Arabidopsis thaliana: one gene and its partners. The protein of the gene in region 2 interacts with the protein of the main gene of each other region in a pairwise test. Each region holds a gene or a part of one and is shown on either strand. Other genes may lie near its edges.

Region 1 (8,185 bases), on a different chromosome or scaffold from region 2:
AAATAGTGAACAATCATCAAACAGATCTAAAATTAAAGAGACATAACCATCTCTTAGTAAAAAAGGCATCATAAAAACAGTGTAACAATAATCTTAACCTGATCAATTAGTAATAAGGCTTCAAACACAGAATCAAAACAAAACATAGAGATCACATAACAAATTTAAATATCAACCACAGATTGACACAAACCTCGCATACCTAGACTATGTATACACATGATCACATCAATGAGACAAAACCCACTAGCAACAGAGCTAAGCACACAAGATCAACCTACATTTTAAGTGGATTCAAGTACCTATTTGACTAGATCTAACACATGAGACCTTAAAGCTTGGATTTTTAAGGGTTTAAAAGAAAATGGTAGAGAGAGATCATGATCCTTACTTTAGGGCCAGCAGGTCCACCACGCCAAAGAGGAGTCCTGCTTGTTCCGCAATCAACGCATGTCTTCTTCGTATCACCTCCACTTCCACTGCTACTACAGTTCCCGTTGTCTACATCGGACGAATCTCCCGCCGATTCGAGCTTCGTCGTCTTGGTTTCTTCCGTCATTGACATCTACAAAAGAAAAAGACAATTATTAAACGTGATCATCAACTACAAGTAAGAGAAGGATCAAAAACGATCATGGAAACTCACATTGATCCACTTCGAAGCGAGATAGGATTGAGAAGAATAGAAAACTCTGAAACAGAAGAAAGGAGAGTAACGGAAATGGCAGAGAAGGATCAAAGAGCTCTTCTTCTGCTTGAATGGCTCTCTGTGAAGTTTAGAGTGAAGATGATGATGATAAGGAAGAGAGAGAGACGCCGCAGAAGAATAACGGATAAAACAAACGGAGAGGGTTTTTATAATAAAGGAGGAGGCGGGGACTAATAAACCCTAGATTTCTCTTTCTTAATTACTTTTTTACCCTCGAGCGCGGTGTTTTATTACTATAGAACCACCCGCCAAAAAATAAAACAACCACAAACTGAAAAAAGAAGAGGGAAAATCATTTTACAACAACAACTTGTAACAAAGATCTTGTGGAAGGGGGTTTTTTGGTATCTTGCTTGCTTTGGTACCAAATTTGAAATTTTAATTCAAAACCTGGCGCACGAAATACATTGGATTTACTCGTTGTGGTTGTTTGCCACGTTAGATTTCCCTAATTGGGCTTAGAGATATGCATGCATTTTTTACCAGTCTTTTAGATATTTTGTGTAATTCTTCACAATGAAATACGAAAAATTTATGTAATAATATTAGGTATATCGAAGACATGCTCGTGTAGTGCAACTTTTTTTGTATGAAAATTACAAAACATCTCTCTTTTTGGTCAATTTCATCTTATTTAAATTTGTGTAATCGACTTATGAATATTTGAGTTCTTTTGGGTCCAAGGCATACCTACGCTTATAAACGACAGGGATTGAACAAAACATAGGATTTTTTTATTATTGAAACCCTCCCTACTTGAAGTTGACGATAACCATTAATAACATCGATTAATGGAAATATGTTGAAACTAGATACGCGTGCATATGTAGACAATAGCCCAAAATGACTTGGACCGCACTAAAATAGATTATAAAAAAAAACATTTACTATAAACAATAAAGAGACGAACCAATTGGGCTTTTATGTCACCAATAAGACCAAATAAAGTTTGACCAACTTTTTTATGTTTGACTTTGCAGTGTTGTGTAGTACAAATGTAACAAAAACCCAGAGAGACACATTCTCATCAGATCACACTTTAAAAACTTATAAACCCTTTCCCAAAAATAAATATCCCTTGATGACTCCTACCCAACTCCCCCCCAACAAGCTTATTCCATGACTCAAACCCACCAACCACTGGATCTGACCGGACCAGGCCAGACTAAGTAAGGCACCCCATCTGACTTTTACACAGAAGACCAGACTCTCTAATCATACCCTTTTTAACCAGTGCCCCCAAACTCTTTAAGCTCCTTCGACTCTTCAAATCGTCATGTTCAGCTCCTGTGGAAGCAAAACCAGACTCACAGATTCACACAAGGTAGACACACAGGCAGATTTACTCTGTTTGCTAGTCTAGCCTTAGATGCTTAGATAAATTAGTCCCAAGTAGTGAGGTTTTTTTACCTTCACTGGAAGTTGAATCCACCTGGTGGTACGGCTGCATCATTACCTCCTCCAAACTGGAAGCCTTGTGCAGAGGGATCACCAGGTGGTAAAGTTTCATCTTCCTCTTCCAACCAGTACGTTTCAAGAATCTTCACTGCCTTCTCATAGATTTCGCTGTTGTCATGACTCTGCAGATTCTCAATCTTTTCTAATCCCTCAGCATCATCGATCAGCTGTGCATAAAAGTTTACATCCCCGGTATTTCCTGTGACCTTTTCAGCTTCCCCAACTTTCAAAATGTTCTCCAATCCTTCCAGACACACAGTGATAATCCTTGGATCAGGGCACACCAAAAGATCACACAGTGGTTTCACGACTCCCTGTTCCACCATGTACCTAAAACACACAACGGAATAACTTAATTGACTGTTTGAAAAATAACCAACAAAGATTCTAAAGGAGTTGAGATCAACAGAACATGGAGTTTATATCGGATAATCTTACTTGATTTGGTCAGGAGAACCACCTGAAGTGGCATTTGATATTGCCCACGCAGCTTCTTTCTTTATATCAAACTCCGCATTTTGAAGCAGATTGACAAGAGGGCAAATCAAACCAGCTTCACACACAGCCTGCAATACCACAACAATATTAGAGAACATAAACACACAGAACATCTTTCTTCAAACAACAAAAAGGCTTCTGAAACATGTCTTCCAACATTAGTGATTAGTTTATGAGAAACTGATAAGCTGAGCAGAAACAACAATCTTTAGCAAAAGTTCACCTGAATCTGGTCCCTGTTTCCAGCAGTGATATTTGAGATTGTCCAGCAAGCTTCCTTTTTGATGCTCTTCTTATGATTGTGAGTCAGAAGGCTCAAAAGGCTAAGAAGTGCACCATGACTAATTACACACTGTAGAACCAACCAAAAAAGAAAGCAAAATAAGTGAGGAATGGTACATGTGTGAGATTCTTAAGAGTATTATACATACTGCCTTAAATTAGTCTAACTATTCAAAAGGAATGTTAGGTATTGCATAACTAGGGTAAAAAACATGCAGGGGGGGAAATAAAATCTGGGAAGAATTGACAGTTCCCATTCTAGAGATTCATCTAGGAAGAATTTGACAAGTAACTTTTGACAACTAAATGTCATTATCAACAAACTCAGATTCAGCTTTCTAGCCAGTGTATTTCATTCTTCCCATCAGTATTGGACCATGTATCCTGAATAATATGAATGAATGACACTATAAAAGAACAAACATACCTGTGTCTGCAGATCATCTCCAGTGACAATGTTACCAATACTACGAAGGGCAGGAATAAGCACAGATGGTGATTGATGCCTACAGCAAAATAAAATTGATAATATTCATTAACACATAACATTCATTATACAAAAGCACGGTGAAATCATGGGATTTGAAACTCACTGGAGAAGCTCGACGAGTCGAGGAACAACACCTGCCTCAATGACAGATTGGATTTTGTCATTTGTGCCATCGGAAAGGTAAGAGAGAGCCCAACATGCATCCGTTAACACTTCCTCATCAGTCGAATGAATCAGGCGTTCAAGGGCTGGGAGTGCTGGACGGACCTGTTATTAAGAGATCACAAGAATTAAAAAGAAAAACTCCTTCATCTTTGGGCAGAGATTAAGATAGGAATGAGAGACAAACCTGGTCAAAGGGAGGCTGTGGCTTGCCCCTGCAGAAATTAGAGAGGGTCCAAGTAGCATTTCTCAGCATCGAGAGTTTAGCATGCTCATTCAACTGAGAGAGTAATGGTATCAAAGCTCCTTGACCAAGGACAAGATCTCTGCACCGTGGAGAATCACCAGCAACATTCCCTAATGCCCACACAGCCTTACACATGAAAAGATTAAGAAACAAACAAGCTTTAGAACATGCTTGTTCCCGAAAACAAACAAAATTGACAGTATATTGAGTCATGAGAAAAAACCATAAACACATATCTTACCTGCTCACGGACATCATCACTCTGAGAAGCCAATAGTTGAACAAAAATCGGAACAGCACCATGTTCAATGACCACCTTTGTATTCTCTGAAGTCCCAGAAGCAATGTTTGTCAATGCCCAAGCAGCCTCAAACTGAAATCACACACACACACACAAGTAATTAGTATCAGAAGACAATTCTAGCAAAATATGACAGATACATAACGATCCACCAAACCTGAAGCTGTGGATAATCCTCTCTAGTGAGAAATTCCACAAACCGAGGCACAACACCAGCATCAATCACTTCTTCAATCGGAGGACTACGCTCAATAGAAAGCAATTTCCGGAACTGAGTAGTCGCTTCAAGCTGTAAACTTCTATCATCTGACCAAACACCACCAACCATAGCAGGCAAACTCTCCAACTAGCCAAAACCAAAACCAAAATCAAAATCGAATCGATCTAAACCAATCAAATCCTAGGAAACGGTTCCAGATCGCTAGTAATATTACCTTCTTCTCAACAGTTGATGAAGCAGGAACAGGAGAAGGAGCGAATTGAGGTAGCTGATTAGCTTGAAGGCCTTCACGACGCTTCTTCTGTAAGCTTTCTTCACGCTTACTCTTACGGATCTCGACCATGTTGTCCTCTCTCCTCCGTCTTCCTTCCTCAGCATCCACCGCCACTTTGTAGCGGTTCCGGCGAACCTCAGTCTTAGCGTTAGGTCTCAAAGACATGGTGGCTAATACGAATCTCCTCTTGCTTCGTGGCGGTGAATGAAAAATGAGCCAACGAGAGTGGAGACGATGTATGTATATATATGAAAAGTGTATGTATAGAATCGGCGGATTGGTAGAGGATGATAAACCCTAAATGAAGTAGAGGGGAACGAGAAAAGAGGAAAAAAGGCACAGAGAGAAAGATTGAATTTCGTTGGTTTACAAAAACATTTTGGTAAATCTAAATTTTAAGATTCGATACAGAGACCATTAATTTACTTAAGTTGACTTGTTTATTCATTAGTCTTTTCGCACCGACTAAATTTAATTTAAAATAAAATACAGTTTTTTTTTTGGCAAAACTTGGTTTTGTGAAAGTAATTTTAAAAGTATATTATATTCGTTTAAGAAAGTTTAGAGTAGAGAACTTCGCATTTGAGTTTGACGTTGAGGAAGACGTATGAGCAATGCTCATATATTGGGGTAGATTCGTCTGTTGGAGCCATAACGATTGCAAGTACCTCTGGTAGCATTATCTAGGAGGTGAAAATCTGTTATTCTCTCTCCGTTCTTATCTGATGAAAGCTAATAACAGATTTTCACCTCAACTTTCATGGTATCAGGTCTTTCCCACAGACTATAATGAATTTTAATTTAAATGAAAAAATCGTCAGAAAAAAATACTTATGTTTTTTTAATCAAACATCTGGCTTTGTGAAATGGTGCATACGAATTTAAAAGTGTACTCGTTATAAATAAACACAATCATCATTACTTAAGACGGCTCAGCCAAGTTTGGAACTTTAAAGAGAAGGTTTTTTTAAGAAGTATACACATATATGTACGGCTGAGACATCTGATCTCTGAGGTCTTTTTAATGTCTCTTTAAAGTTAAGACTCCAGGAAAAATAATAACATGGTGATGGAGGTTGGCTTTTAGCGGAGATCGAGGACTTCATATTTGAGTTTGGCATTGAGGAAGACGTGTGAGCAATGCTCGTAGATTGGGTTACCGTCTTCTGATTCTTCGTGTGGGTGGAAGCCTCGTTGCTGGCAGTTTCGGATCACAGATACGCCTGATGGATCAGAGAGATGGAATATTCCATGAGGTGTTGATTCGTCTGTTGGTGCCATTACGATTGCCACCGCCTCCGGTAGCATTATCTGGGACAATAGATATAGATGATGGTTTTACTATAATCGCATCATAAGTGATTAACATAGAGATATTGATAAGGGGAGTTTGTTACCTGATACGAGTAGTGTGTGTGTAGATCAACTGATGACATGAAGCAAGTTTGTGTAGGGTGTGTCTGAAACCAAAATGTAAATTAGCAAGACGAATCGATAAAGCTTATCAACTAGTGGATATATGGATTCACAATTGTTCTGAGTAACGTTTTGGTAAGTCATTATCTGGAAATGGAAGATTTTTTAGTTCGGGTGAGAGAACTTACATGAATCCAACCCAAGGGAAATAGAGAGAGTCTGTCCTGTACTCGAATATTTCTTCTCGTTTAGTGTTTGGCACTGTACATTACCCAAATGATGATGAACCTAAGTGTGAGAAGCATACCAGCGAGAATTAAAAAGATTGTTATTGATGTAAATGGTTAAGAAAAATGAAGAACATACAGAATCTGAGGTAGACTCCTGCTTTGGGATTATGAGAGTAGTGATATGAAAAACCCTGTTTTTCTGTAAACATGGCAAATAGACAGAATATAAGTAATGGCGAGCTGATCATGATATTGGAATCAAAAATTATAAATGCAAAGGTTCCATCTACTCACCAGAGAACCAGCAAGTACTCCACAAGTTTCTAAATTCCGTTCTGTGTTTGACCGAGCTAGCCTTAGGAAATCATCCATTATGCGCACAGGCTTCAGCAAATTTAAATAAAGGGTGACAACATTAGTAGTAGATTAAGAAGAGGTGAAAGAGAAAGATTTCCAGAACCGATTCTAGCAAGCTTTTAAGAAGCTGTAATGGTCATGAATCCAATACTTCGATGATTTAATGTGTTGATTCTTGAACACATACCAAATAATTAGACTAATCATGGATAATTTTCTACTTGATATGCATATCCCTTCCACTTTACTCTCACAAACACTATGGAATTGGTGGAAACTGCACAAAAGTGAAAGAAGATACAGCTGGAACATACCACATGCAAATGCTGATAAGAATTGCTGCCCTCTTTTCCTTCTAGGGAAGGAATTGCAGGTCCTGGTCTAGGATCAGCTACTTTAGATGGGCAAATTTGGGCTAACTCTTGATGCACTTGAGCAAGCACGGGAGGAGGGGAAGGTTGCTTCATACCGACAAACTGAAACGGGTCTTCAGTTGCGTCGCTAATAAACTGGGAATTTACTGCCTCAGAATGACGCTGCCATCGACCATCATCTAAGGAGAGCACAGAGTTCAGTGTTGAGACTTCTTGAGAATCACCATTAAGTGATGCTGAGGAACTGCTAGGTCCAGCTTCAATTAAACTGCAGAAATACATGGAGTCAGTTTGAAATAGCCATGACTTCTTTAAGGAAAAGCTTAGAAGGTAACAGAAGATGAGTACTTACCCTGAATTGTCCGCAGAACCCCAATCTGTATTACTCGGATATTGAACCTATCATTCCATACAAAATAAAGATTTTTCTCAGTTCCTTCAGATCTAAGATAATTAAACATTGAATTGGACCAAGAGTAAAAGAAAGAGTGAGAAAATGTGAGAAAGGTAACAATGATCAGCACTATACCTTTATCTCTGACTTGGGTGCAACCATTTGCCTTTTAAGACCATTCGGACCTAGAAATGAATGTCTTGACAAGGTTGCTTGGTTTGGAGGCAGGAAATCAAAAGATCTGCAGGTTCAGGAGCACAATTAAAGTCTCAATGATCATCCCAGATTAATATGGAGTAGCACTTGAGTCTCATAGACTCATTTCTTGTTTCAATATCCCAAAACCAAAGAAGAATTCCACAAAACGCAACCAATAAACATGATACCATAAATAGAAAATCCAAGCAGCATTGGCAGTTTAGTCCATCAGAATGGTAGTTTTTCTGGTAATAACTAATAAGTGACCCAAACATCGTATATATATGGTGATCACAGAAACAGGTAGATGTAAAGCAAGAAAACCAGTGACACATATCGGATGGCATACCCCTATTTCTCAGGGTTCCTAAAGCTCAGAGAGCTTATAGTGTTTGAATTCCTATTAAGCAGAATTACCGACAATTATATTAAGGGAGAATACTCACAGCTTCTGGAACTGCTGATCAATCTGTGTACGATTTGATGATGAAGTCAGATTATTGTTATACGTCCAGGATGGTTGAGATGTCGGTAAGGGCTGCATCCAGAGAAGACAAAAAAAATGGAAAAGGCAT
Region 2 (6,603 bases):
CATAACTTTCTCTAAAGTTAAAACAAAATCGATTCCTCTTATGCTTCATATTTGCAGATTTTGATTGAATAATTTTCTTTTCCTCATGAGCTCATGGTCTTAACTCGCAAACATCTTTTTTCAGGCCGACAAGCTTTTGTCTGTAGAATTTCAACCTTCTATAGAGGAGTTGATACAGTTCTTGCCAGAGAGCCGGCAGATTTTGATGTTTTCAGCTACATTTCCTGTCACTGTGAAGTCTTTCAAGGATCGGTATCTCAAGAAGCCTTACATTATCAATCTCATGGATCAGCTCACACTTATGGGTGTTACCCAATATTATGCTTTTGTTGAAGAGAGACAGAAGGTGCACTGCCTTAACACGCTATTCTCTAAGGTCAGAGTTTTGTTACAGTCTTAAAACCCCAATGTTTTATTTTCTGGCTACTTGATGTATCTTTTAAAGGAAATATTGTTTTATCTATTGCAGCTCCAAATAAACCAATCCATTATCTTTTGCAACTCTGTTAATCGTGTTGAGCTGTTGGCCAAGAAAATTACAGAACTTGGTTACTCATGCTTCTATATCCATGCAAAGATGGTTCAAGACCATCGGAACAGGGTTTTCCATGATTTCCGCAATGGTGCATGCAGAAATCTTGTTTGCACTGGTACGTTTTGTGTATTTCATGTGCTTGAACATTGACAAATGTGTTTATGTTTCACGGGGAATGTCTGTCTGTTGCAGATTTGTTTACACGTGGGATTGACATTCAAGCTGTGAATGTGGTGATAAATTTCGATTTTCCTAGGACTTCTGAGTCGTATCTACATAGGGTATGTTAAGGGAAGCCGATTTTGGTTTATCTTCTTGAGAACCTGCTCTGTTTTATTTGTTCAAATTGTGAATGGGTTTTTGCTTCATTATATTACCAGGTAGGCAGATCAGGACGATTTGGACACCTTGGGTTGGCTGTGAATTTGGTAACTTATGAGGACCGCTTCAAAATGTTCGTGTTTCTTTTTCTCAACTGGTGTGGCCTCTCTTTTCATAGATGCTATAGCTTTCTTACTCAATTATTTGGTTTCCAACAGGTATCAGACAGAGCAAGAACTTGGAACTGAAATCAAGCCCATACCTTCACTTATCGACAAGGCAATCTACTGTCAGTAACTTCTACCTGGTGTACATTCTCTACCCGGCAAGGCATTGATGGACTAACCGGTGAGACAAATCCCTCTCTAGGCATCTTGACATTAGAACTAACCTGCATTGCTCATAGACCAAATTTCCATTGATTTTGGTTTGCGGTTATTTAGGTGTAGTGAGGAGGCAAATCATTCAGCTTTGGCAGCCACTAGCTCGTTCTAGAGATGAAGGCAACACATAGAGTACTGTACTGAGGCAAGAAGAGACAGTATAGGTGGTTGATGGCGATGGAAGCGGTTGATTGTGTCTAAACCTTTAAAGCAGTACCGGCTTGATTTGGTTTGAATTGAAGACTTCTTCTGCTGCATGATATGAACCTTAAAGTTGTCTTCTCTCATCTCTAATTTTCATGTTCTTAGAAACCTTTTCACCTTTTCATTTTGATGTTCTCTCATCTTGAAGACTTGAGAGGAATTTCCGAGTAGTGAGATCAAACCGAAGAAGACATTTTAACTTCATTCGCTTGTTTATTGCTTTTAGATCTCCACCTGTGCCTGAACTGTTTAAGGATTATAGTTGGTGTGTGTCAAGTCAAGTGTCTTAGCATTTTAAGAGTTACAGATCAGATGTGAAGTCGTACAACTGAAACAAAAGGCAAAACAAGATTTGATGCTTCATACAATTATACTCCATTAATCTTTCACTTTTACACACAATCACCCAATATGTAAACAAGACACAAACGACCAAACAAATAACAAAAACTAAAAAGAGTTGTTGAATCACACAAAAACAAAAGAAGAAGAAAGAAACAGAGATGAATTGTTACAAAGATACAAATTCAATAAAGGCTTAGAAACATCCACACGTTGCCTTTGGTACTACACCAGTGGCTCTATACTTAGCACCCATTTCTTCAGCTTTGAGAAGCTCTTCTCCTTTTTTAGCTTCAACCATTGCTCTCTTCTCTTCTGCTAACTTGTGGATTGCAGCTACTTTGTTCTTCATTTTCTCACCGTACTGCGCTTTTTTCTTCTCTAATTTTTCCTCGATCTTCCTAAGTTGAGCTTCTACGGCTGCTTTCTTGCTATTTTCCCAAGCATGCACATCAGAGATCTTCTTTTGTGCCCTGTCCATTTCAAGATCATCAGAGATCTGTAAGCAATAGTAATCTTTGGGTGAGAAGATGATGAAAGTTTACCTGTTCTCAGCCTTTGACTTCTCACTCTCTTCCCATGCTTTGATGAATGACGTTTTCTTCTCTTTTTCCAAGTCGGCAAGTATCACATCTGACCAAACACACACAACACACATTTGAAGTAAATTACTGAACTAAGTAACTAAGAAACTGGACATGAGAAACAAAGTGTTGTTATCAGCTGACCTCTATCGGCCGAACCAGATGAAGCTTTCTTAGGTGTATGCTCCTCGATGGGTTCTGCAAGAAGCACACTTATAAGTATAACACATGGATATTTGTTGCAAGAAGCTCACTTTTAACTAAGTTAAATTTTGTTGCTCTAATTGGCTAATAAGGTCATCAAAATAGTAGTTTATAAAACGAAACTCCACACAGAAGGAATTACAGATAGTAAATAAAGATGAACAAATGAATGTTCAAGGATTATAAAAACTGCTGGAAAGTTAGTACTTAATTGTTATTTTCCAAGAGTTAAGCAACTTTAAAGGAAGGAAAAAATGTAGGAATATTAAGAAAGTAACCCACTTTCCTTAATTCATAGCTGTCCACAACTAATTTGTCATGATTCCATACACTTTTTGATAACACTAATTACAGGGAACATTGCTTTACTATTAATCATATTTTAATAATATCATCCTCGAAAAACATAATTCTCTTGAAAATGCCATGATGAAGTTGTAAATTCTAACAGCGATGGATTTCACCTAAACAAATAGAGTATAGACCAAGTCATATGCAAAAGAACTCACAAAAACCTTAGGCATCTTAAGAAAATCCATTTGTTAATTGTAAATTGAAACCTTAGTTCCAAACGTAAGAATTCTGAATTACATACTATAATAATTCATCGTAAACATGAATGAATCCTCCTAAGTAGAAGATTAACATATATAAAACACACACGTATGTAAATAGAAAGCTTACTTTCTACAACGGCAAGAGCTTTGGACTCGACGGGAGGTGGATTATGAATTTTCTCATCCGCGACTTCCACCGGAGCAGGAGTCGGTTCCTTCGCCGGAGCTAAAACAGCCGGAGATTCTACGTCAACCTTACTCGTCTTTTGCTCCTCCGCCATTGTCTCTCAGCCGAAGAAGAAGAACAGATTTTATGTTTTTTCCGTGAAAATGGATAAAATTGAGATTTTAGGACAATAATGAGTTAAAGAGTTTTTATATCCTCCGTTAGCTTATACCGGTGGAGCGTACTACGCGCGTTTAATAAGTGTGAGACTCTTGTTTTGCTTCGCCGTTGATTTTTGTACCCATGTGATCGTGCGGCTGTAAAGCTCTCATACGCATTGGATGCGTTACACGTGATTAAACACACCTCACTGCCGACAAGTAAAGTGGTTCAATGATGCCACGTCACCTCTGTAGAAAATTTGTCCTCCCCTTCTTTTTTCCTGATATTCAACAAAACTTAATTCTTCCAATTATACCGAACTAAAATTTTGTTTACCATATAAATTGGTTTAAAATTGAAAATCAGATTTTAGCTGGGATTTTTTTATTATGAGAAAAACAACAATCAAACTACAATCAAGAAAATAAATGATCTATATTATTGCTAATCTTGGCTTAACTAAAAAGTTCGTATTAAAAAACTGAATCTAAATTTGGAGTGAGCTCGTATGCCTATAGAATTGACAGAGTGTCGGGTGTGTATTAAATCTATAATAAAATATCAATCACTCGAATTCATTTAAACAATTATTTTAGTTTTAAAATTTAAGTGGATCAAAGGGTGACGTGGAGCCTCACTGACTCGACACGCTGGAAGACAGATACAAAAAGGATAATGTCTGTGTCTCGCGCGTGTACAAAACTTTCCGGTTATGTGGCGCGTGGTATATGCAATTTAAACTGGTTTAAGCATGTGGTATATGGACTATGAGATGGAGACATCTCTTTTTGTAGGTGTTGGGCTTTTGTGAATCCTAATGGCCCAACGGGTTTTTAAATTTCCTGCCCAACTTGTTTTAATTTAAAGAAAGGTGTAATTTTTTTTCTAACAAAGCAATAAAGTAAATTAATTAAGGCTAATCACTAATCACAGACTCACAGTTTCGAACAGCCTGTGAAAGATGTATTAATGTATTTGTATAATAATAAAAAGTACTCTACAACATGGAATTATTTACGATTAATTATCTGTCTTGTATGATGATGAGTGGTCGAATATGGACTATGATGTCACTGACCTTTATTTAATGGGTTAAGGTTTATCTTCTTTCTTCTTTCTTCGAAGTTCGGATTCTTTTATTCAGTTTAAAGCACTTATAACAAACTTTCCCAAAGAGGACTTTAATTAATTGAACTCTTGCAGTTTTATTTTTGTAGTAAGCAGATTATTTTTCTAAGAACATCAAAGGTCTTGTATTTAGTTATTTACCAATAAATACAACGTTAATAAGAGACGATTATTTGGGAAACATTTGTGTATCACATATCAATGTCCATATGTGATTTGAGCATAGGAATACCAAATATGGATGACCAAATGTCTCCTACTAATTAATAAAATATTATCTATTTAATATTTAAAAACATTTTAACTCTTCGAAAAACTAAAAAGTAAACAAGATTCACACAAAAATATGAACGTCATTAACACAAAAGATGTGAACTCTGGTTAGTGTTGAAGATAACGTGAAACAAGATTCAAATCCTCGTGGAAGAGCACCAATCGATCACCAGAATCAAACCTTTGAGCTTCCTCCTAGCTTCGGTAACGTTTAATCTCACCTGATTCTCGTTTTTCTTCTCTTCCTGTTGAATGTTTGTGAACATAGATATATATAAAGCTGAGATAGATATAGATTCATGCTTCAACGGAAAAGCATGAAGAGGAACAACAACAATCTTCTAACGAACAAGAATAAGTATGTCTATCTTAAAACGGCGTCGCATCCAGCAAAAAGCATCGCTAAAGCTACTCTGTTCCTCGTCACCTCTCTCTTCATATCTGCTGGTCTCTTAGACTTATTGGGTTGTTTCGATTTCGTGAGTTCGAATCTGAAGTAACTTCTTTTTTAGAAACTTTTTATTCAATCAAGTGAATCTTGAACTTGAAGAGTTAATAAATTCATATCTCTCTGTACTTCAGACAACTTTTACAGGTCTGAAGCAGGTAACAACTAGTATCAGAAAATCACCAATCACAAGCCAAAGATTCCCTAACCAATGCGGCGTCGTTCAGAACCAAACTCAATTATTTCCCCAAAATGGCTCCTCGAGAAACAACGACAAACCCAGAAGCAGCCATTCAAGAATATCCACGTGTCCTTCTTACTTCCGTTGGATCCACGAAGATCTACGGCCATGGAAAGAGACAGGTGTAACGAGAGGGATGCTTGAGAAAGCCAGGAGGACGGCGCATTTCAGAGTAGTAATCCTCGACGGGAGAGTGTACGTTAAGAAATATAGAAAGTCAATCCAAACAAGAGACGTTTTTACTCTGTGGGGCATCGTACAGTTACTACGGTGGTACCCAGGTAGGTTACCGGATCTTGAGCTCATGTTTGACCCAGATGATAGACCAACCGTCCGATCTAAAGACTTTCAAGGTCAACAACACCCGGCCCCGCCTCCTTTGTTCCGTTATTGCTCTGATGACGCCAGCTTGGATATTGTCTTCCCTGATTGGTCCTTCTGGGGCTGGTAAGGGCTTAACACACATGTTAATTCTATTCTGTTCTCTATTTAATGGGCTTGTTATTGGACCTAGCTAATTATATTATTATTGGGCTAGGGCTGAGGTTAATATAAAGCCTTGGGATAAATCGCTAGTGGCGATAGAAGAAGGGAATAAGATGACTCAATGGAAAGACCGCGTGGCGTATGCTTATTGGAGAGGAAACCCTAATGTGGCTCCAACTAGAAGAGATCTTCTCAGATGTAATGTCTCAGCTCAAGAAGATTGGAACACACGTCTCTACATTCAGGTTAGGATTTCTCAAAATATGTATAATTTTTATATATTGCAATTTTTAAATAATCTAAATGATCAAAAATGTTTATTATTGTGAAGGATTGGGATAGAGAGTCAAGAGAAGGATTCAAGAACTCTAACCTAGAGAACCAATGCACCCACAGGTTTAACTTAAGCCACACTTTTTGTACTTAGGAAATATTTGCAAAGATTCGATTTTAAATGTGTGATAATGATGGAATAGGTACAAGATTTATATAGAAGGATGGGCATGGTCAGTGAGTGAGAAATATATAATGGCATGTGATTCAATGACATTGTACGTGAGACCTATGTT
Region 3 (8,460 bases), on a different chromosome or scaffold from region 2:
TGAATTTGTAGACATGCCAACTACGCGACAAGGTATCTTTGTCATAAAGTATGGGAGAAACAGTCGTAAGATTGGAACTGTTTAACTCCTTTATCTAATTCACCAAAAGAACTAAACCATAGAAGAGACTTGATTAATGAGAGCGGTCTTTCAACTCTAGTCAATTGCCAAACCAAGACCCAAGACAAATCCAGAGTGCCCCCAATACATTTTCATAGCCCCTCTTTAAACATTAAGATCTCAGTAAACTGTAAAGATTTGTTGATGAGCTACCAAAGCTATAATGCACTGCCCAACTCCTATGCAAGTTACAATAGTACTGCACTAGACTTAACAGTAATATACCATCACATTTCAAGATTCAAGTATATTATAACGAACAACCGGGTTCCAAGAGCCAACGTTTGGAAATATATAAGCATTCTAGAGTCTACACATGAAGCAAGTGAAATGGAGAATGTGTAAGAAAGTTGAGTTATGAGAATCCATGGTACCATTTCTAGTTCCTGGGCCATCAAGATACAAGGTCCACACCATGTCGCATAAAAATCAACAATCAACGGCACCTTCCTATCTCCTTTCACCAGTTCCTGAAGTTCTTGAGCTGACAATTTCTTCTGTCAAACCATAAGAAAAGGAACAAAAAACATCCAGAAATCAGTGAGGCTTCCACATGATGGTATCAACAAGAGTCATTCATAAGATTCAAATTAAGCAAATCTCTATTCTGAAGTATTTAACAGTGTACTGGTCGAATCTTTGATAGAACTACCATATATCGTTCTTATATAATAACTACATCTATGCCCAGCCAACTTAATTTCCCAGAAAGGCGAAAAAGGAAGTCGTAAAACGAAAACAAACATGAAATTTTTTGAAATCGACAAAATATGTTGTTTGGAGCGTGAGAGAAAGCGAGAAATTGTCCGTACCACAAGATAATCTTCTCTGACAAACTTGCCGCGAGGCGGAGGACAGAGAAGCTTTCGCGGACGCGTCAACGGCGAGAAGGGCAAGTTTCCGGCGGTGGAGGAGGAGAACGGCGCGGCTACCGGTCGGATTTCCCTCCGGATAAAGAGAGAAGACGGAGCATGGAGGGAGGATAGAATCGGCGATAACGGAGTGTTGAGGTGTGGAAAAGTTCTGGATTGAACAAGAGCCATTTTGGAAATCGATTTCTGCTTCAAAATGATTTCAGTTTTAGCTTTTGAGGGGTTTTAGACGATAAGGCAATTGAACTGGACATATACTAATAGTTCATTAGTTCTTGTCTTTTTACAATTTACTTGCTCAGGTAAAGTCAAATTCATAATAATTTATTGCTGTTTTATGTATACTTTACTTCATAATTCAAATAAAGATTCGAGTCTTTATAACTCGAAGATAAACCCTTCCTTAGGTTTGACCAAAAAAAAAAAAACCTTTCCTTAGGAAATCAGACACCAAACATATTAAGACCAATAAAGGGTTTATGGTTTCAATTTTTTAACCGACATACAAACTGTTGTCAACACAAAAACAAAAGACTCCACTGTAAGTTTTTATAACCCTCCAAAATTTAAAAACAACACAAAGGTCGACTCACGACCGGTGTACCAGTCATTTCAAAAAAATAGCCCTGGACAATGAACCAAACACTTTCTCAGACGCTGTACTTTTAAACCGACCACCCGGTACAAACCTCTGAGACCAGACCAGACCAGACCTGGAGTATAACCATGGCAGTGAAACTAGACTCTGACTGACTCTGACCTTTCACCATTCTCAAGTTGCAAGCTTCCAATTCCATTCCTGTGGGTTTATATTGATCTAAATATCAGATTTTGCATGTTTTCATCAAGAGACGTTGTTAGAAATTTAAGAATTTTTACTTTTATTTACCTTCAGCTGAAGTTGAATCCTCCGGATGGTACTGGAGCTTGATTCCCTCCAAACTGGAACCCAGCCTGAGAACCATCAACACCTGGAGGTTGCTGTGTCTCATCATCTTCCTCTTCAAGCCAGTATGTCTCCAGAATTTTAACAGCCTTCTCATAGATCTCATTGTTGTCATGGCTCTGAAGGTTCTCGATCTTTTCTAGCCCTTCTGCATCATCAATCAGCTGAGCGTAATAGTTCATGTCTCCTGTGTGACCCAAGTTCTTCTCTGCCTCTCCCACCTTCAAAATGTTTTCCAATCCTTCAAGGCAGACAGTTATGATTCTTGGATCTGGGCAAACCAGGAGATCGCATAATGGTTTTATGCACCCTTGCTCCACCAGGTATCTGTATAACCAACGGGAACAGAACATCAATATATATATACACAAAGTATATATATGAGAGAAGAAACTGGAAGTTAGAGGAACGCAAAAAAGACAGTGACATACTTTATTTGATCATGAGAACCACCTGAAGTTGCATTTGAAATTGCCCATGCAGCTTCCTTCTTAATGTCAAATTCAGCATTTTGAAGCAGACTCACCAACGGGGAAATCAAATTAGCCTCAACTACCGTCTGCAACCATCAGGGGAAAAACAACACAATTAATGAATAGGTATAGAAGTCTGGATGGGAAACGGTACAAAACATATGATGAAACAGTACTAATTGCCTACCTGGATCTGATCTTTGTTGCCTGCTGTGATGTTTGAAATCGTCCAGCAAGCTTCCTTCTTTATGCTTTTCTTATGGTTTTGAGTGAGCAGGTTGGCAAGACAAGGTAGAGCACCACTATTGATCACGCACTGGAGAAGAAGTAAAATCAGATTTCCAAGTAAAACGATGTAAACTATTTCAGATATAGAAAAATCACCTTTGCTAAACTCATGAAAAACCAAATTTCACCAAGCAAAAAATTTGTGCATGTTGTTGGTTTAAACTTTAAAACAAGAATTAATTGTAACAAAACTCAAACACAAGCAATATATAGCAAAAAAGGCACTGCATCCTATCTGCTAATATGGACAGAGTGGCAACAGAGGGAGAATCTCATGATAAGCATTCAATACTCCCATTTTTCACATAAAATGTTGGATATGAATAATAGCAACAGGGTGCCATACATTTGAACAACACCTCATCGCAATTACCAGTCTTGGATTAGATGATATGCATGGTATATCACTAACTTCGACATGTTTTTGCTATCGGTTCAATTAATGAAAAGTTCTAGTGGTATCTTCAGACCTATTCCTAAAGGCCAAAGAATTGCATAACCACAAAGATATTCTTTGGCATAGTAGGAAAAATATATACTATCATATACAATGTGCAAAACCGAAATACTGTGAGAAATTCAATAGACAGGATTTAGATCCATACCTGTGTTTGTATATCATCTCCAGTAACTATATTTCCAACAGTGCGAAGAGCAGGAATTAGCACAGATGGAGAATGATGGCTAAAAATCAAGAGCAAGGTATCAAGTTATTTGTCAACAAATGTGTGAAGTGGACATGAAATAAGGGAATTATAAAATGGTACTGACAGGAGAAGTTCAACAAGTTTTGGGACAACACCGGCCTGGATGACAGTCTGGATTTTGTCATTGGTCCCATCAGAGAGGTAAGAAAGAGCCCAACAGGCATCTGTCAAGACTTCTTCATCATCTGAATGAATTAGTCGTTCAAGGGCGGGAAGAGCAGGTTTGACCTGTTAAACATGCTTCATATGTTAGAAGAATACTAGACATAAACATTGACGAAACAAGCTTGGAGGGGAAAAAAATAGACCTGGTCAAAGTGAGGCTGAGGCTTGCCACGACAGAAGTTTGACAAGGTCCAAGTGGCATTTCGAAGCATGGACAATTTAGCATGCTCATTAAGCTGATTGAGCAGCGGAAGCAGTGCCCCACATCCAAGAACAAGATCACGGCACCGTGGTGAATCACCAGCAACGTTACCCAAAGCCCATACAGCCTGCAGGTTAGAGCGAAATCTTAAGATCAGGGTTTCACAAAATTTTCAATTGCATAATCTCTCATAATAAATGAGAAGACATTCTGTAGTCATCAGAAGTTCCATACCTGTTCACGAACATCATCGCTAGGGGAAGCAAGAAGCTGAACAAAGATTGGAACAGCATTGTGATCGATTACAACCTTAGTGTGATCCGATGTTCCAGATGCAATGTTTGTTAGAGCCCAAGCTGCCTCAAACTAAAATAAAAATCATAAAAGATGAGAAGAGAAGATTACAGTGAAGAATGAATCAATAAGAGACATTAATTATCTCACCTGAATGGCGGGGTAATCTTCTTTCTTAAGAAACTCAACAAACCTAGGAACAACACCAGCACTTATCACTTCCTCGATTGGAGGACTTCTCTCTATGCAATTATAATAGAGACAGAGAGACAAAAGTTAAAGGGGACACTCCAAATTATATCAAAACGGGAAATAAAAGAGAATTAAGAAAAGGAATTACCAATAGAGAGAAGCTTCCTGAACTGAGTAGTGGACTCAAGCTGCAAGGCAGGGTCATCGGACCAAACCCCAGCGACCATATCCTTCAGACTATCCAACTACAAATGTTTTTTTAAAGCCAATCAATCACAAGACAACTACCGTAACCAGAACCCAAAAACGAAACCCTAAAACCTCAGTAAGCCGACATGAAAATCACAAACAAAAACCTAGAAAACCGACAACAAGGAGTACAATCGAATCATCTAAAAACCAGAATTGTACCTTCTTATCGACGGAGGCGGCGGAAGCTGAAGGGAAACCCTGAAGAGCTTGCATACCTTCACGTCTCTTCTTCATCAAACTCTCCTCACGCTTGCTTTTACGGATCTCAACCATGTTGTCTTCTCTCCTCCGTCGTCCTTCCTCCGCATCCACTGCAACTTTGTATCGGTTCCGGCGAACCTCCGTCTTAGCGTTGGGTCTCAGTGACATGGCTCTTGCTCGACAAAGAAAATCCGATGAAAAGATATAAACCCGATCAATGAATGCACACAAGCACACGCAAAGACTGGTCTGTGTATTATATAGATCCTGCCGAGAGCAAATAAATTATAATTATAAAAAAAACCTAAAAATTGATTTGGGAGTGGAAAAGTGATAAAGAAAGAGTTAAGAAGCAGAGGCAGCGAGGGACAAGTTGACAACAGCGCATCCAAAGAATGAAAGCACTTTTTTATTTATTTTTAATCTTTGTTCTTAATTTATACTGTAATTGCTAAAATATTCACTTATTTACAGTTTTGCCACTATTTATTTATGCAAACAGGTGTCCACAATTAGGTTATTTACATAATTAGCCCCTTACTATTGTGTTCTTTGAGGCAAGCTAATGTATTCTTCTTTATATCTCAACAATTTGAAGATCCTTTTGTTTTCATGACTTACAAGTGGACTGCGATTATCTTAATATTAACGTATATAGACCTTGGTTACTATATAACTTTTTGAGTTTTGAATCTACGTTTGTGTTTATACATTTTTTCCTTTCCAATGAAAAGTCGTTGTTTGTCATATATGGATTAGTTATTTCTCTCTAGCGAGATATCCTCAGTCAGATTGTCCACTCTTTAACCGACTACATACCGATCATCGAAGACCAACCTATGAAAGTAACTGACGAGATCATAAGTTTGCTTGGCCATGAACCAGACCGCAATCAAGGCTAACAACGCCGGCCAGATAAACGGCTCAATAGCTGGGTTGGCGCTACGGGAAAATCCAAGCAGAGGTAACAAAGACTTCAAGAGCAAGTAAGGGATGCAGAGTGTGGCTAGAAGTGTGGTTATGATCGAACCAATCACATCTTGAAGCAGCCACATTGAAGGAAGCTTATTGATTCCCACGTTTCTGATTCTCTTGAACTTTCCCCGCCATGCCTTAGTCGCGAAACAGTTGACAGGAAACGAGATTTTTGCTCAGGAGGCAGGACAGTTTCTTTGTTATGAAGTGATATCCCAAGGAAAACCACCTGACTATGGCTGGAAACGAGATTTGACGCAGAGTGAGGAAAATTCCTAAGTAGGCAAAGGGAATTGACAGCGTCATCATGTATCCAAGAATGACAGGTGAGTTTTCGAATAAACCGCCACCTCCTACAATTGCTATTGCAATCCAGCGAAAAGAAAACGGCAGAAGAATAAAGAAGAAAGACACACATATGCTGATGGTAAGAGCCTGTAGATAAGATAACAAACAGAACCTGTTATTCAAAACATGCTCCATATGGTAATTAAGTTACATAGGGTGGACGAAGGAAGAGAACTAGAAGGGACATTAGACTTACATCAAAAGATTTGTTATCCAGAAAGAAAAGCAGCCGTCCAATGGCTCCAAGTTCGTGAACAGCAACACCAACTAGCCTAGGAGGTTCCCCGAAGAAGCTTTGCAATAGAGAATAATACCACTCACAAACGATCTTGTTATATTTCCATAAAACAAGCACAAACCCATCTCCTAAGACATTCTTAATCAAGATGTCAGCCTGAAACCCAGCAGGATGTCTCGCGATAATGGGCTCGTGTATGGGTATCCTCATGAAAAACACAAGATGACCGTTGTATAACAGGCCATTTAAGAAACATGCGGACTTGGTAGACATTCCATAATCTCTCTTGAACCCAACAACAACTTCTTGGCCCAAAGGATGTAAAGAAAGGCAGTATGTGTTCAAGATAAACGCCATAGCCCAAGGAACAACCATTCTCACGTAAGGTGATGCTCTCATTAACACAAACACGTATTAGAAACTCGTGAACTGGAAGTCTCTCTGGAGCGTCCTACAATGAAAACAGAGAGCATTTCATCAAACATTTGGTGTGCGAGATTCTTCTTAAACCCATATTACAAGAAACAGAGAAGAAATCGAAAATCCCAACACCATGACACAAATATAATCCCCAAAAACATCACTCATAACAAAATACTAGTAAATAACTTTGATATTCTTTCTAAAATCGCAGAAATTGAAGTTTAATCGAAAACGAAATTGTCACATAACGCTATAGAACAAGAACCTCATTCTTTAGAGAAAAAGAGGTTTGTATAATAACCTCGCACTGCTTGTATCCGCGGAGATTGAGCCAGATATGAAGACAGTCTTGATGAACATTGATGGAGCCTCGACACGCGCACCGGATACCATAAGGGGTTTCCTGGTTCCTCCGGTGATCGGCAAATCCTGCACAAGTCTTCTTCTTCTTTATCATCATCGTGTTTGTCTGTGTCTTCTACCAGAGTAGCTTGATCGTCCATTTTTCTGATGAAACAGAAAGGTTTCTTCTCTATCTCTCGTCTTCTTCACTTCCTTGAGTCAAAGAAATTCCAAATTTTGAAAAAAATGGTTTGCTGCTTTATTTATACCCCAATTTGTAAAAGGCCACGACTCTGGGTTCATTCAATGGGCTTATATGATTTAGCAACGAGATAGATTAATTAGAGGCCCATATATGATTTATTAGGGCACGTTGGTCATTTAAAGTCCACTATAAATTCAATCAGAAATTAGGGTTTTGTGTTGCAGACGCCGTATTTGTATCGCGGAAAGTAAACCTAGCCGAGCAGATCTACCTCTCTCTCTCAGTACTCAGGTTAGCTTTTCTTATATCTACGGCCGATCTCTGGCTTCATTTCCCCCTGTTGTTTCGTTCGTTATTCAATTGAATAGTTTGTATTGTGGTCTTGTGTCTCAGAGATGGCCAAGTCGAAGAATCACACGGCGCATAACCAGTCGGCGAAAGCCCACAAGAACGGAATCAAGAAGCCAAGGAGACACCGTCACACCCCAACCAGAGGAGTAAGTCTCTTATTACAGTTCTAACCTAACTGATTTCAGATTCGGGTTATAGTGTTGGAGGTTTGATTATTGCGTTTATGTGAAATGATGTTTCAGATGGACCCTAAGTTCCTGAGGAACCAGAGGTACGCAAGGAAGCACAACGTCAAGGCCGGCGAGAATGCTAGCGCTGAAGAATAAGTGTTTTGATTATCTGTGAGACATTTTGAAGTTTTTTTTTAATGAATTTAAGACTTTCTTAGACAAAGGAACCAATTTACTTTGCGCTTTTGATCATGTTTACGCAATTGTGGTTTGTGTACTCTCTTATCCTGGCCTTAATTTAATATCAGCAGTTTTCTATGCATCTTCTCTTATCTGCAAGTTACTTGATTCGTTACCGATTCTTTTATTGTTTAGCATATATGTTTGTGTGTACCTGAAATCTGATAGCCGAATTTGATCTACAAATTAGATGTTAAGCATATAATCCGTACTTGATCTACAATCATCTTTGATTGTTAAACATATATGTTTTGTGTTTTTATTGTTTCTTTTAAATTACATGTAGCTTCGCTATTTGTTGGTTCATGATTGCCCTAGTTGCTGCATCTTCAGGATGATTCTCTATAATCCTGTTTTGTATAAAATTGTCTATTGGTATTGACCATTTACAATACTGTCGTTCCTGTTTGGTTTTGTGTATGCCTAGTGTTTACGATTAGTAATCGTTTGAGGTTT
Region 4 (6,045 bases), on a different chromosome or scaffold from region 2:
GTTTCTTTGTAACATGACTAAACATGCCTTTTTTTTTTTTTTTTTGTACGCTCAAACAAATCATGTACGCTGTCATGTTATATGTATTAAGTAGTAAATAAACTTTTACAAAAAAATAAAATAACAATAATCTAAAAATACTCAAACTAAACAAAACAAAAGTTGAATGTAAATACTCTCTTTGTTTCTAAGTAATGGATTTTTGAGAATTTTCATACATATTAAAAGTTGATTATAAATATATCATTTTGTGATTTACATTTTAATATAATTCTAAACCAAATATATTCAATTATTTTTCTTGAAATTTACAATACATCAATAATAACTAGTTGCATAAAAAACCTAAAAACTTCATATATGTTTAATCAGTTTTTTTTTATGTAGAGAAACTACTATTTAAAAACAGAGGGAATAGAGGCAAGTGGAATGTACCGCATTTTCTGCTTTTTTAGTCAAAACTCAAAACCAAAATATAAAAATTCGAATGCTTATAAAAGTTGGGAAATTTTGTTTTGGAAACATAAGTTACGACATTCTAAAGAATAAAGAGAAACTTTGCCTAAATCTCATTTAAAGTACTTTTACAAGTTACTAAGAAAAATGTCATTCACTGTTTTTTGTTTTGCATGTTCTGTATAGAACCCCAATTAAAAAATTGTAGAAGAATAATTGGCCGTACCTTAAGGGGACAAAAACAGAAATCAAAATGAGAAGAAGATAAAAGTAGAATAATCACATGTTTAGTACGCCAAACGTGGGGAGTATCTTTGAGCTGATTCTGTTGTCTACAATGATTATTTGATTTTGATTCATTGCATTTGCCTATCAATTTTCTTTAATATCCAGTGCCTCCTTCTAAGTTCCAATGGGTAATGTAAGGGTCTTGCTAATATAATAATGCCGTACGTTATTATATTATTCGATTTGATCCTTCATTCTGAAGAAAGTTCAAAATATTATATGCATCCTCTTTTTAAATAGATATTGTGGTCGTGGTGTGAATCAAAGATATGAGTTTGTGAGTGATTAGGAGCTAAAATGTATACTTAATGTTTTTAGTAGACCTCCTAAGATTAGATATGAATCCATAATCCCCATGATTACATGTATTTGGACAACATTTTATTTCTTCTAATTTGTAGCCATGCATGACCACATAACCTTGAGTTAGATATGATTCATATGAATCATAATTAATCCCCATAATACCATGGTTATTCAACCGTTTTCATTTCTAATTCGTAGCCATGCATGCGTGACCACATGGTCATGGTTTAGCGACATGTGATTGTGAAATATGTGGTCGTAGTCACCAACTTAGCCACTACCTATTCAATGATTAAAATTAAAAAGACCACCAACATGTTCAACATAAGTTGTTAGTTATTATAGGTGTAAATATTACAAGCCGAGTTTCAATAGTATGTGTAGTTTGCAAATGATTTTATTACTATTTTGTGTAGTCTTCTCTAATAGACAGTTATCACACAAAAATTAGTGGTAGCTAGAGTAAGTAGTTGAAAATATTCATAGAAGCCATGCGGAATATTTGAGAGTACATTTTCAAAAATATATCATAATAATACAAGATTTGGTTCTTAATATCAAAGACTATAGATTAAAGAAAAGTATCCTCAAGTCGGTACATTATTGGATATCATACTATCAAATAAATGCTAATCGCTGGCAAAATCTCAAAAGTGATTAGCAGACGATATGAATACACAGAGGTAAACTGTCACACATTATTTGATTATTATGATATTATTAGAAATAGAAACATTATTTAATTTTAAAATTATCAAATATACGTAATTAAATAAATACAATACTTGTTTTTATAAAAGTTCCTTCGTGAGCAAAGAGACCCCACGTGCAACGATATAAAAAGAGAGAGAGAGATCTATAAGTATAAACTGACGGCGTTCAAGTCAACGTTGCAGTCAATAAAACCGTCAAAAGTAAAAAGTTAACGGAGATCGTTATCACACGGATCTCTCTAAGCTAATCCGGGACTCCTCATCGGCGAATCCACAAGCGAAGTTGCAGACTCCGGCGACATTGTCAACGAATCTTCATCGTCAACCATAGACAGAGGCGATTCCACCGTAGAGTCCGAAGATTCCATCGAGGATGTGGCTGAGAGCGGAGGCGGCGGCGGTGGAGTGGTCAGCTTCCGTTTGTTTCCTTCGGCGGCGACTTTAACGTCTCTCGTCAAGTAACTCCTCAGACGTTTCACGTCGGCGAGTTTCACCGGTTTTAGTAAAAAATCCTCCGCACCTTCTTCAAGACATCTACAACAGATTTATTGATTAAATTTCCGATCACCAAAATCGGAATCAAAAAAAAAAGATTCCGGCGAGAGATTTGACCTGTCGATACGAGTCATTACATTCTCCGACGACATAATTACAACAGGAACTTCCTTAAAACTTGTCGATTCCTGTTTTTTAAGAAAATCAAGAATTGAAAAAAAAAAAAAGTAACAGAATTTGTTTTTATGGCGGGAAAATTTCAGAAACCTTAATCTTTTTCAGAAGCTCGTATCCAGTCATTCCAGGCATACAGTAATCAGTGATGATCAAATCCACCTTCAATCTCTGGTAAAAATAAAGATCAAGATCAGAATCTAGAATCTCAAAATGTTTTAAAACAGAGTTATGAGAGATTACATCGAATTCGACGGCGGCTTTGTCGTCGTCTAATCCTAAGAATTCGAGAGCACGCCATCCGCTATCAACCGCCGTGACTGCATTGAATCATCGCCGGAGAATAAGGCTTTTAAAATGTTAAAGGGGAAAGAGGAAGAATTACTAGTTAAGAAACCTTTGCAGGATGTGATTCGAAGCAATCTTTCGATGACTATTCGATCAACTAGGCTGTCATCAACGGCGAGAACGTGGACTTGATCAGAATCTAGCGGCGGAGATTCAAGTTCTCCGATTCCTATACCGATCATCTCCGACCTTCGTAGACAAGAAACGCCACCGTCTTTGGCCATAGTGAGAAAAGAGTAGGAAATGAAAAGATAGAAGAGAGATATTGCTACTAGTTCCTCTCTACTTTGTTTTATATTTTCGTTGTTATACTCTTCTATATCAAATCTTTTTATAGGTGGATCATTTTCTACTTCATTTCTTTTACAAAATATTTTCTTATTCCAAGTGACGATTAATGACACAAAACGGTACGTACCTTTTTTTCTTTTTTGGGATGGGGGCAGCAAGAAATAGCGAACTAATCTGAATAGGTAAAGAAAGATAAATTCGAAGTTCATGATAAGATATAGATAGAAAGTACCGGTTTTGCTTCTTCTTACTTTTAGGATTGGTACTAAATAGATATACTTGGATTACCAACCAAACCCATAACAAGGGTTGTTTGGTATGTATGTTACTGATTTAATGTTCAAATTCGTCTTTTTGTTTCTCACATGTACTATGCTTTTGTTGTTGTTGTTGTTGTTGTTAAAAACACATTTACTATGTTCAGAAAATGATTTTTATTTTCTTCTCTCTATTTTGATGGACCCTTGAGCTTAATTTGAAGAAAAATCTAATGCATAGCTATGTCTTGTCTCCACTTATAAATACAAACTCTTAGACCATCATAAAATATGATGACCAAAACCATAACAAGTAAATAAAAAGGTTTATAGACAAAGTGAAAGAAACATAAAATCCAAAATCAAGCTTTCGTTTTCTATCAGAAATCCCGTTCAGAAAGACTTTATCGCAATGATGAACAGAGGTTTTTCACAAGATATTGTACATATCATTATGTGATTAATTTAGATGTTTAAAGATTTTGGGGTCCATGTAACATGCTTTGAAAGAAGCTTAAATATTAAAAAAAAAAAAAAAAAGATAAAAGAAAAGGAGAAACATTTCAAACTCAAAATTGCTCTTAAAAGACTTGCATATTCACAAAAGAAAAAAATAAGAAGAAACATTTCTCAAGGTTATAAATTAGAAATGCAACTTTACAAACTAAATAATCAAGACATTTATTTTACAACTACAACATTTATGAAGGTTATACATTGGAAATGCAACTTAACAAAACAAATTAATGCAACTTTACAAACTAAATAATCAAGACATTATATTACAACTGCCCCATAATTCACACATAGTGATCAGATCTCACCGTCCCACATCTCGGTGACAGATTTTATAGGACCTTTCTCCGAGATGTAAACCTCTCCGTCAACGATCCTGCTCTGAGAAATCTCCGTCGAGATTCTCTGTTTCTCCTCCTCTGTCAAAGACCAATCAAATATCTTCAGATTCTCTTCCAATCTGTCTTTCCTAAAGCTCTTCACCACCATGCTCACTCCTTCCTCGTAAGCCCATCTCATACTCACCTAGTCAATTGTCTATTACAACTCTAAAAATGAGCTTTAAATACTTTCATTCCCCAAAACTTCTCCACATCACTCTATTACCCGTTTAAAGAGTGAGTTTTTTTTTTTTTTTTTTTTGGGTCAACGAGAGTGAGTGCACAATATAAAAATGTATCAAACAAATAAATAAGTCAATAGTCCAAAATTAAATATCGCATAAAGATAGTTTTAGCCATTATCACAATAAAAATAAAACTAATTTTCAAATGAATATAACAATGACTTTTGTTTACCGATTTGTTAAAATATTTTCTGTAATTAACAAAATTTTCCTTTAAATTACGACTGTTTTTTTTAATATTTATACGTTAAAAGAAATTTAAAAATGTTTTCGTAAATAATTTTAAAACTGTCTTTGGAGAGTACCTGAGCTACTGTTTTTCCCTTTGCCTCAGCAATTTCTTTGAGAACATCAGACTCCATGATTTTGTGAGTTCCCCAAAACGCTCCTCTCGATCCCAACACCGAATAAGCTGTCACAACAATGCCTTTCGACTTACATAACTCCCTCAGTTTTCTCTGTTGCCATACTGGACTCATCTCCACCTTTTTCACATTATCCACAAACAAATGTTTCAAATTATTTCACCAATCCAATATTTTCTTATAAAAAAAAGGTTGAACTTATTTGATAAATTAAATAAGAGAGAATTTTAAATATACTTGATTGACACTAGGTGGGATTTTTGCTATTGAAAGGATGTGTTGGAGTTTCTTGCATGAGAAGTTGCTTACTCCTATACACTTTGCAACTCCGAGTCTCTGACACTCTTCCATCTCAGACCAAACTGTTTCATAATCCATTGGCAAAAAGTCATCTTCTTCTATAGGGAACTTGTATTTACCAGGTTTCGAGCTAACCGGCCAGTGGATTAGGTAGAGATCGAGATAGTCCAATTTAAGAGTTCTACAAAACATGATATGAAAATGATGATTAAGATCATGCAACCCCGAAATACGCTTTTTGTACTTGGCTTGCAGTCCATAGAAGGCTATCAACAGGAGATCGCATGGTTAAATGGTCGGGAGACGTTACAACGGACTGCATTCTCTGTCAAGGTAACCTCGAAACCCGGGAACACCTTTTCTTTGATTGTGGATACACTTCAGCAGTTTGGGCAGCGCTTGTAAAGGGAATTCTCAAATCGAGATATACTTCCAACTGGACCTCGATAATGGACCACCTCGCTCATGCTCAGCCACACCGCGTGGACCACTTCCTCGTTCGCTATGCCTTCCAAGCGACTCTATACACTGTGTGGAGGGAAAGAAATGGTAGACGACACGGTGAGACCCTCAACACGGCCTCTCAACTAGTTGGATGGATAGACAAGCAAATCCGAAATCAGCTGTCCTCAATCAAGCTCAAGGGCGATCGACGATATGATGACGCTCTTCAATTGTGGTTCAGTACCAGAGTTTAATCTTATAGTTTTGTCTCCTTTTTCTCAAACTCTATTTTCAGTTTAAACTCTTTCAACTCACGTTGCATTTGATGTAAAAAAGTTAGGTTTCTTTTGAATATAATTTAACATTATTTCAAAAAAAAAAAAATGATGATTAAGATTAAGCATTGTTCTAAGATACGGCCTAAGCGTTCATATATACGATGTAAAGATGTTATACATTAATGACTA

What was found.
Region 1: the proteins of AT2G45820 (region 2) and IMPA-2 interact in a two-hybrid assay, tested with the Arabidopsis thaliana proteins (one study listed by BioGRID).
Region 3: the proteins of AT2G45820 (region 2) and IMPA-1 interact in a two-hybrid assay, tested with the Arabidopsis thaliana proteins (one study listed by BioGRID).
Region 4: the proteins of AT2G45820 (region 2) and ARR3 interact in a two-hybrid assay, tested with the Arabidopsis thaliana proteins (one study listed by BioGRID).

The regions. Positions count from the first base shown.
Region 1 is NC_003075.7:9,132,329-9,140,513, forward strand, and holds IMPA-2 (importin alpha), read right to left. Parts: upstream 5,088-8,185; 5' UTR 4,807-5,087; coding exon 4,582-4,806; intron 4,494-4,581; coding exon 4,305-4,493; intron 4,220-4,304; coding exon 4,088-4,219; intron 3,973-4,087; coding exon 3,787-3,972; intron 3,705-3,786; coding exon 3,541-3,704; intron 3,454-3,540; coding exon 3,375-3,453; intron 3,018-3,374; coding exon 2,889-3,017; intron 2,734-2,888; coding exon 2,606-2,733; intron 2,498-2,605; coding exon 2,122-2,497; 3' UTR 2,120-2,121; exon of another isoform or gene 1,997-2,119; 3' UTR 1,422-1,996; downstream 1-1,421. Other genes in the region: AT4G16141 (GATA type zinc finger transcription factor family protein), read right to left, coding at 392-565.
Region 2 is NC_003071.7:18,861,166-18,867,768, forward strand, and holds AT2G45820 (Remorin family protein), read right to left. Parts: upstream 3,577-6,603; 5' UTR 3,412-3,576; coding exon 3,258-3,411; intron 2,568-3,257; coding exon 2,514-2,567; intron 2,419-2,513; coding exon 2,331-2,418; intron 2,259-2,330; coding exon 1,982-2,258; 3' UTR 1,788-1,981; downstream 1-1,787. Other genes in the region: AT2G45810 (DEA(D/H)-box RNA helicase family protein), read left to right, coding at 125-376, 470-650, 728-816, 916-989, 1,075-1,153; DTA2 (downstream target of AGL15 2), read left to right, coding at 5,159-5,338, 5,442-5,995, 6,087-6,279, 6,366-6,430, 6,511-6,603. UniProt on the Arabidopsis thaliana protein: Exhibits a non sequence-specific DNA-binding activity.
Region 3 is NC_003074.8:2,116,979-2,125,438, reverse strand, and holds IMPA-1 (importin alpha), read right to left. Parts: upstream 5,096-8,460; 5' UTR 4,881-5,095; coding exon 4,671-4,880; intron 4,505-4,670; coding exon 4,408-4,504; intron 4,310-4,407; coding exon 4,218-4,309; intron 4,140-4,217; coding exon 4,008-4,139; intron 3,901-4,007; coding exon 3,715-3,900; intron 3,635-3,714; coding exon 3,471-3,634; intron 3,384-3,470; coding exon 3,305-3,383; intron 2,728-3,304; coding exon 2,599-2,727; intron 2,498-2,598; coding exon 2,370-2,497; intron 2,266-2,369; coding exon 1,884-2,265; 3' UTR 1,882-1,883; exon of another isoform or gene 1,872-1,881; intron 1,792-1,871; 3' UTR 1,273-1,791; downstream 1-1,272. Other genes in the region: TRX z (Thioredoxin z), read right to left, coding at 495-617, 933-1,163; AT3G06710 (E3 ubiquitin ligase), read right to left, coding at 5,826-6,122, 6,232-6,672; AT3G06700 (Ribosomal L29e protein family), read left to right, coding at 7,639-7,740, 7,837-7,920. UniProt on the Arabidopsis thaliana protein: Binds to conventional NLS motifs with high affinity in the absence of an importin beta subunit. Mediates nuclear protein import across the nuclear envelope in vitro in the absence of exogenously added importin beta subunit.
Region 4 is NC_003070.9:22,063,892-22,069,936, forward strand, and holds ARR3 (response regulator 3), read right to left. Parts: upstream 3,343-6,045; 5' UTR 3,281-3,342; coding exon 2,830-3,280; intron 2,753-2,829; coding exon 2,676-2,752; intron 2,604-2,675; coding exon 2,526-2,603; intron 2,447-2,525; coding exon 2,376-2,446; intron 2,298-2,375; coding exon 2,003-2,297; 3' UTR 1,726-2,002; downstream 1-1,725. Other genes in the region: AT1G59950 (NAD(P)-linked oxidoreductase superfamily protein), read right to left, coding at 4,142-4,369, 4,775-4,954, 5,072-5,315. UniProt on the Arabidopsis thaliana protein: Functions as a response regulator involved in His-to-Asp phosphorelay signal transduction system. Phosphorylation of the Asp residue in the receiver domain activates the ability of the protein to promote the transcription of target genes.